2 linked regions of the Alligator mississippiensis genome follow. The protein of the gene in region 1 interacts with the protein of each later gene in a pairwise test. Links are inferred from orthologs where the notes say so. Each region holds a gene or a part of one and is shown on either strand. Other genes may lie near its edges. The genes, in order: MIPOL1 and UTP25.

What was found.
Region 2: the proteins of MIPOL1 (region 1) and UTP25 interact in binary tests that used the Homo sapiens proteins (3 or more experiments, as listed by UniProt). The link is inferred for Alligator mississippiensis from reciprocal best matches to the Homo sapiens genes MIPOL1 and UTP25.

What each region holds. Positions count from the first base shown.
Region 1 is NC_081825.1:258,447,597-258,451,511, forward strand, and holds the start of MIPOL1 (mirror-image polydactyly gene 1 protein), read left to right. Parts: upstream 1-1,459; 5' UTR 1,460-1,549; intron 1,550-3,915.
Region 2 is NC_081824.1:191,864,514-191,868,428, reverse strand, and holds the start of UTP25 (U3 small nucleolar RNA-associated protein 25 homolog), read left to right. Parts: upstream 1-1,513; 5' UTR 1,514-1,632; coding exon 1,633-1,733; intron 1,734-3,513; coding exon 3,514-3,550; intron 3,551-3,915. UniProt on the Homo sapiens protein: Component of the ribosomal small subunit processome for the biogenesis of ribosomes, functions in pre-ribosomal RNA (pre-rRNA) processing. Essential for embryonic development in part through the regulation of p53 pathway.

The sequences.
Region 1 (3,915 bases):
GTAATGAGACAATATGCAAACATGTAGAGAATCATGCAAAAGATGCTAACACAGTGGTAAAGATTGAGATTTAAATTGCACAAAAATATGGAAATTCAAACGTGTTCCTGCTGCAAATGTAACTTGATTCCCTTGTACTTATCAGAAAACAAATAGTAACTTGAACTTATTCATGTTATAAAAGTGGAGTAATGATTGTGGCAGGAATATAGAATAGCTCCTCTAAAATAATAAAATTTGAACGTGCTGACCTTCACATAATTAACATCTCAGCATTAATGTTTTGTTAACATTTGCATTTATTCCCTTGTTTTTGCTCAGGGACAACACTGCTCAATAAATACCCCAGTGGCTTGTTGAAAAAAAAAAGCTACCAGAGCATCTCTTAATTTTGTTCTAGGAATAGAGAGTATGTTCTGTACTGTTCACTTTGATACGGATAACAGACATGGGATCAGGATGGACTCATTGTAGCACTTCATCAGATGAAGGCCCTGTCACGGATCAGATCTTGTATTCCTCAGTGGGTGCCACAACAGCAAAAAGGGCATTTGTGCAGTGAGGCTGCGCCACGTGGACAGAATCATTAAAACATTTAAAATAAAGCAGCAGGCAAAGTGCAGGGAGTTACACGGAGAGACGTCTGTTATTAGAAACACAAACACAGCATCATTAAAGACAAAACTTCAGCAGTGAAACAGACACATCCAAATTATTCCCAGCAAGTGTCAGAGGCCTGGAAGACGATTGATTACACAGCCCTGCAGGGAGTCAATTTACAAACCTTTTCCCACTGGCTACATACCCCGCGAGTCCCCCCGTGCCTCCCCCGCCAAACAGCCTCTGCTGCCACCGGGCACTGTCCCCAAAGCACTGAAAACCAAAGGCATTTTACCCGACCCCTCTCCTCCCCCAGCACCGCATCGCCTACACCTCTGGGACACAAAACCAGCCTCTATAACAGCAGGAAGGATCCGCAAATGGTTTACTTGCTGACCCCCCCGGAGCTGTTCAGTAAACGATCAGTGAATATTTCCCCCTCATTTTCCAGCCCCGGCGCGCGGCAGAGATCCGCGCCTTCCAAGCGCGACGCCGCAGACTTCCTACGATCTCCGCGCCCGTAACCTTCTCACCAAGTGCCTCAAAACACCTCGCAGGCGCTTGGCCCTCCCGCTCCCAGGGAGATGCAAAGCCCGCCAGCTCCAGCTCCAGCTCCTTCCCCGGATCCATCTCCAAGGAGTACCACGGCTCTGCCTCCCGCCCCCGGGCGAGCGACAGACTAGCCCCAACTGCTTCCCGGCTCCCCAGCAGGCGCGACCAGCTGACCGGATTCCTGGCCGGCCGCTGCAGCTCCAGCTCCGCCTCCTCGCTCGGCCTGGGCCCTCCTTTCCTGCTCCTGCTCCTGCTCGTCCTTGCGTGCCCTGGCGGGCTGCGTCGCGCCCTCCTCGGCCTGCCGCTGCCCGAGCCTGCGGGCGCCCAGGGCTGCTTGCACACGCGGAGCAGCGTCTCCCTCGGGGCGCCTGGCACGAGCCGCGGGAGGAGGACGCAGGTAACGGGCTCGCCGGGCAGCTGGCGGGGAGGGGGGCTCGCCCTCTGATGGCACTTGCTCTCAGGAGCTGCAGGAAGGGCTCGCTCACCCGCTGTGCCCATGGGACGGGTGTGGGCACCGGGCAACAGGGAACTTCTGCTCGTGCCCTGCGCTCAGTAAAGGCACCTGTTATACAAGACCACTTTGCAGCTTGCGGTGCCTTGCCTACAAGTTACTCCCACCCACCCCCAGTTAAGAGAATTAAGGCCTGTAAGTACTGATGGTCTCCCTCAGTTTCTTAATACGCATATCAGAAGGAAAGGCTGCAGCTGTGAAGTGCCAGCACAGCAGCTAGAGCAGTGGTTCCCAAACTTTTCCTCAGCATGGCCCCCACTCCCAACCCATGGCCCCCCAGCCCTGCTGCCCCATCTGCTGATGTTGTGACCCCATTTGGGGCTGGAGTCCCCCAGGGTTCAAAATGCACTTTGAGTCTGCAAAAAAAATGGAGCTGCCCATCACAATGCCTTAATAAAATCTGAGACCCCCTCAGGTTATGATTTTCAAATCTTACAGGGGGGCTCTTGTCTCTTATGGGGGGCAGGGGGCTCAGGCCTTCTCCCGGGCTCTCCCATAAGTTAAACCCGGCAGCCCACAGTTTGGGATCCGTTGAGTTAGAGGCTTTGGCTTGTAGCAACCAAATTATTCACTGCTCTGAAGATGCTCAGTCCTAGCCTCCTGTGAAGCACAATGGCAGGGGAGCATAAGGATTCTTGCACTGTCATTAGTTGCCCTGGGAATAGAAGGCTTCCTTCCACAGGGGTCTTTATACAGTGCTCAAGTCACCACACTTGCTATAAAAATCAAGAAAGACATTAAGAAGTAATGGTACTAGGAAAAATATTTTGTATAAGGATAGTAATAGCTGTGGTGTGGAAAAGATTGGTGAGCTGTTTCAGAGGGTAGGAACTGGATTTGTTGAATTACTGTGGACAATGAAAGAAGGCCTTTACCCTATAAACTCATGAGTTGGGAAGGTCAGTAATGAATTCTTTGGAGTAGTGTATTGGTGGTACTCCATGACACAAAGAACAGTTAACCACATAAAAACAGTTTTCTTCATTCTCTTAAAAAGTTCAGATTTTAAAATGGTGTATTGATTCAAGCAGCTAATATTATTATTTGAGTTTCCCAATCTGTGTAATAGGAGAAATGCTTTCTTATCTACTTTCTCACACCCATGTGAATTCATTAGGTAATGTTCCTAAAACAAATTGAAACTCAATCAATCTGCTATGGGCTGAGGTTTTGGGGCAATGTCTTATCAATGTGGGGAAGAGGGGAAAGTAAAAGGGGCATGTATGCTGAGGGTTTCTTTTAGAACCATTGCAATTCCAGAAGACTATTAAAGTGTTTCTACCCTAGTCATCCAGATCTGTACTGACTTTGGGATCTGGGCCTGGGGACATGGGAATTAGTGGAGATAAGGTGCAGCAGAAGCCTGCTGATCCTTATTGTGAAAAATTGTTGCGACCGCTATTTCTCCACACTTTCCAGTATAGAATTAATAGCAGAGGGCTATAGAATGGCCGTAGGTTACAACATCGGTTACTTATAAACTCTACCAAAGTAGTTATTTGTAACTAGTTCATGAATTTTAAGGTAATTAAAACTAAGCCAAAACTGTCAAATGAAAGTTATTTGTTGAGTAATGTAGTCTTGCTTTTACATATTAATTTACAATATTTAATTTATTTACAATTGTCTCCTGGTTGTTAATGCAAATTATCAAGGTCTTGCTGTATAGCAAAGGTGGCATGATTTTAGGCTCAGGGAAGATAATTATCACCTCTGATGCCTGTTACTAGCTGGTACAGGGCCCAGAATTGATCCCAATCTCATATTACGAAGATTTGCATCCTCCCCTGTGGCTGAAGAGAAGCTGTTGCAATGACAGTTGTTAAATAGAAAGCCAAGAGGGAGGGATTCAAATATAATGAGATACATAGGGCATTGATGCATGTGCTCCAGGAGGCATGGGGGTGCTTTAAAAAGCACCCAGAGCATCACCCGTATCAATTTCCCTGTGCTGAAAAATAGCAGTGAGGCTCTTTGAACTAAAGCTTGTTGAATAAGCTTTAGTTCAAAGTGCCCAGCTGCCATGTTTCAGTATGGGGATGCTGATGCACGTGACACTGCTAGAGTGCATTAATGTCCCTGCTCCAGCAGACTCAATTAATCCAATCTGCACCGATGCACTGGAGTTACAGCATGTTGGAGCAGGCTCCCTGCACGTGTATAGGAGCTCATAGAGTTTAAGGGAGGGAAAGGCTTGCAGTAGCAAGATAGCCAGCCCATCCCTTGCTTAACATAGGACTGATCACTTTTAT
Region 2 (3,915 bases), on another chromosome or scaffold:
AGATGAAGGCATTTAAAAATACAGTGTCTTTTGTAACTTGTGTCTGCAGAGCTCCCAGGCTGTCACTGTTTTCAGAATGGGAAGAGGAAAAGGGAGTGGAGGAAGTTCAGTTTGGGGTGGTTTCAGCCCCCCCCCCCCCTCGAGGGTGGGGCAGGTGTATTGGAGCTCCCCAGAGGGGAGGGGGAGCTCCAATTCACCCACCCCACCCTTCAGCACCAGCTGGGGAGCCCCAAGAACAAGCTCCCTTTGCTGCCTTTTGTCCCTCCCATTATGACAACAGTGAGCACTGGCAGAGAGCCATGGCCATTGTTGTGGGAACCTGGCTGCAGGCTCCTAGCCCACAGCTAGATTCCCCTTCCCCTGGAGCCAACAATGAACTTCTCTTTGGTCCTGGGGTAATGGCGGAAAAGGCTCTGAGTTACAGCTGGGAGCTGCACTTCTGTCTGCACTGTGAAACACAAGGTGGCACTGCTCTGCTCTGTCCATAACACTTGCATCCAGCCTCATTCTGATGGCACATCTTCAATCAAGTTAATGATTTTGAAACTTTTTTTTACAAATGGCTCAACTTTATCTAGTGGATTTTACAGACTAGCATTTGAAGCCTTTTTTTTTTTAATGGACTATCCAAAAATTTAGACAGCGGCAGCCCTGATCCCACTACTGCAGAGACACCCAAGCTAGCTCTACATGAACCAGCCAGGATACCCACAACAGTGGCAGCGGCACAGCCCCAGCAGTTCGGAGCATGCCCCAGGCTGGTTTACTGTGTCAGGAAAGGTCATTCCTAGTGTTGCCAGGTGTACGCTAATCATCCTACTTATACCCTAACTCCAACTCTTGTACCATGTATGATTGATAATGATAAAAGCGTTCAAAAGGTACGATCATTTTTGAGGCAGTTAACTGATACAGCATATAGAAAATACAAGTCACTCTCCGGTTTGCCGTCAGCACTTTCTTATGCCGGCTTGCGTCGAAATAAAAGACAAGCTTCAACTTTGGTGACCCAGTTGTCACTCACTCACCGGAGAGTCGGTGAGCAACAGAAAGTCAGTAAGAGACTTATTTGCATGGGCACAGTCGTTTTTCAGCACATATGATAATTTTGGGCTTCCAATAGGATCGTTTTATATTTAAGGCCTGGCACACTGGTGGCTCCGGTCTCAACGTAAGGGGGCCGCCCAGGGTTGGAGTCCCACGCCGACTCCTGGCGGGGCAGCCCGGGGGCTCAGCCCCTCAAGCCCGCCTATTTTGAGCGCTGGCGCAGGCGGCTTGCTGCAGGCTTTCTGCCCGTACTACACCGACGTCCTGCCCGGGAAGAGGCGGTGGCGGGCGGGTCTGTGGCCGCGGGGCCGGCCCTGGAGCCTTGCAGAGACAACGCGGGCTGAGGAAGTAGCCGTGCGCTGCGCCCCTGGCGGCCGCGCGGGGACGGACAAGCTCTCCGGCGCGGAGGGGGGGCGGGGGTGACGGCACAGCAGGGCCGGGCCGACGTCAGTTCTCTCGGAACTCCGTCGCGCATGACGCGAGCGCTCGAGAACCCCGCCCCCCTTCGTTGTCGCGCAGCAGCCGCAAAGTGCCTGGCAGACGCATGTGCCTCCCTTTTCCTGCTGTTGCCAGGCCGGGGCCGGCATGGGGAAGCGGCGGGCGCGCGGCCCGGCGTTAGCCGGCCTCAGCAAACGGCAGAAGAGGCACCTCCGCGACTTCGGGGAGCAGCACCCGGTCCGCGACGCGTGAGTGGGACCCACCCGTGGGTTTAGTGCGTCATCGGCACTAGCAGTGACGTCAGTCTGCAATCCCCCTTCCCCCCCGGGCAGCGGCCGGCGCCCTTCCAGCAGCCTGGTTGGGGCGAGGCGGGCACAGCTCCTCCAGGCCAAGCCGTCCGGCTCCACAGCCATGGACCTACTCGCTACCACTGCCCTGGTGCTGCCGGGTCTTGCTCGCCCTGCCTGGGTCAGGCTCCCAACAGCCGGGGGGTAGACATGAGGTCATGCCCATCAGAGGTCATCTCCCTGTGGTGGGCATGAGGTTATTTCCCTGGAGACTGGTTATGAATACTGGAGCATTCACTGGTAGCAGTTATGTGTGAGAGGGAGACCCAGAAAAATCAGAAAAAAAGGCTGAGAAGCGCTCTAGGAACTTTTCTCTTGAGAAGGAAAACGATTGGGTTTCGAGGGCTGTTGCTACCATCTTTTATGGACAGTGGTAGTGATCAAGTTTCACAACACAAAATTCAAGACGTTTCTAATAATTTCACTTTTCGTTCTTGCGTATCTGACAGTACAGAAGTGCTAAAGCCAACCTCTTCCTTCTCATGAGACAGATGTAGAAATGATATTGGTTGACTGGTTTATAGTAAGATTTGTTGACAGTGGTTTTATGTAGAGTTTAGGTTGTGGGTTGGGGTAGGGATGATCCTGCCTCAGGCAGGGGTTTGGCCTGGTTGACCTCTGGAGGTCCCTCAAAGCCTGACTTTTCTATCATTTTCCTGTGCTGCCATCATATGATGCCTGGTCACCTGAACCAATTGGCCCAAACCTGTCATTCACAGTCACTATTGGGGCCTTCTCTTGAATGGCTCACTTCACCCCTGGCACTCGGCTTCAGCCTCCAAACTTGGTTTTAGCTGCAGGGAGACTGAGGGCCTTCTTGCGTGGTAATTTTGGGTGGCTCCTGGAGCTCATAACCCCTGGATTGTCTGCACATTAACACCTGAAACTTGTTTTAAGCACTCGTTATTATGGCTCAAAGTTATACCACTCTAGGGCAGCAATTCCCAAGCTGTAGTATGCAGACAGCCCTGTTGGTGGTATGTGTTAATGGATTTATCATAATTACTTTATGACAAAAATATGCTGGTGATACTTAAGATTGAACTGAAAAATGTGCTGGTGGTACTTACGGTTGTATCATTTTACGTTAGTGGTGCCCAATCTGTCAGTTTGAGAACCACTGGTGTTATCTCTGATCCATGTTACCCAGCTCCTGTTTCGCTATGGTATAGCCACTCTACCCTCGCCTTCTGGCCTGGATAAAGCCTACTGTCCTCCTACCCTTTCCAGTATCTCAGATCCCTGCTCACTATCCCTACTGCCTCCACCGCTGTGCTCACTTGTGGCTGCCCTTGCTCTGTCTTTCCTAGTAGAGAAGGGTTAACCTGCCTGCCCAACCAGTGCAGCAGCTCAGCTGCAGGGATAGCCTGGCAGGTTAACCCTTCCCTACCTGCTCCCCTGGGACAGACATCTGGGCAGCTACAAGTAGGCAGGGGGAAACTGGGGGCAGGGGGCAAGTCTGTAATGGGAGAGGAGATTCTTTTTTTCTAGTCTTCCAGGCCCCTGCTGGCCTAAACACGTGACGGCTCCAAAATTGAGCTAGCACTAACACCCATCAACATTTCTGCCGCTCACAGTGTAAGGGATAACAAAGTCCTTACATTCTTTTGGATAATATAGATTACTCCCTTTTCCCTAGCACTCATTGAAAACTGAAATTGATTTCTGTTTATTTCTTCAGGGTTTCTGGAAGAGAAGTCACTCAAATTTGTGAACTGGTAACATACTCTAATTGTTTTTCATATTCTCCTTTTGTATTGCTGTTATACAAATTATACAGATGTAATGGAAGCTGTCAGACAGGATGAAGTTATTTTAGCTCTCAGGGTAAATTGCAGATAAAAACCTCGTTCCAGAATTTTTCAGTTGTGTTAAGAGCAGCTAGGGAACATGGAAGAAAATATTTAAAATCAAACAAAAACAAAGTTTGCAGTCCAAGACTTACAGCTGTGTATGAAGTCAAGAGAGCCAGGCAGTGACACTGAATGGAAACTGCCCAAGCTTAGTGTTTAATATCTTGCATTTCATTCAGCAATAATGATGACCAACCCATTAGACTTCTAAACTTGAGTGTTAAAAATAA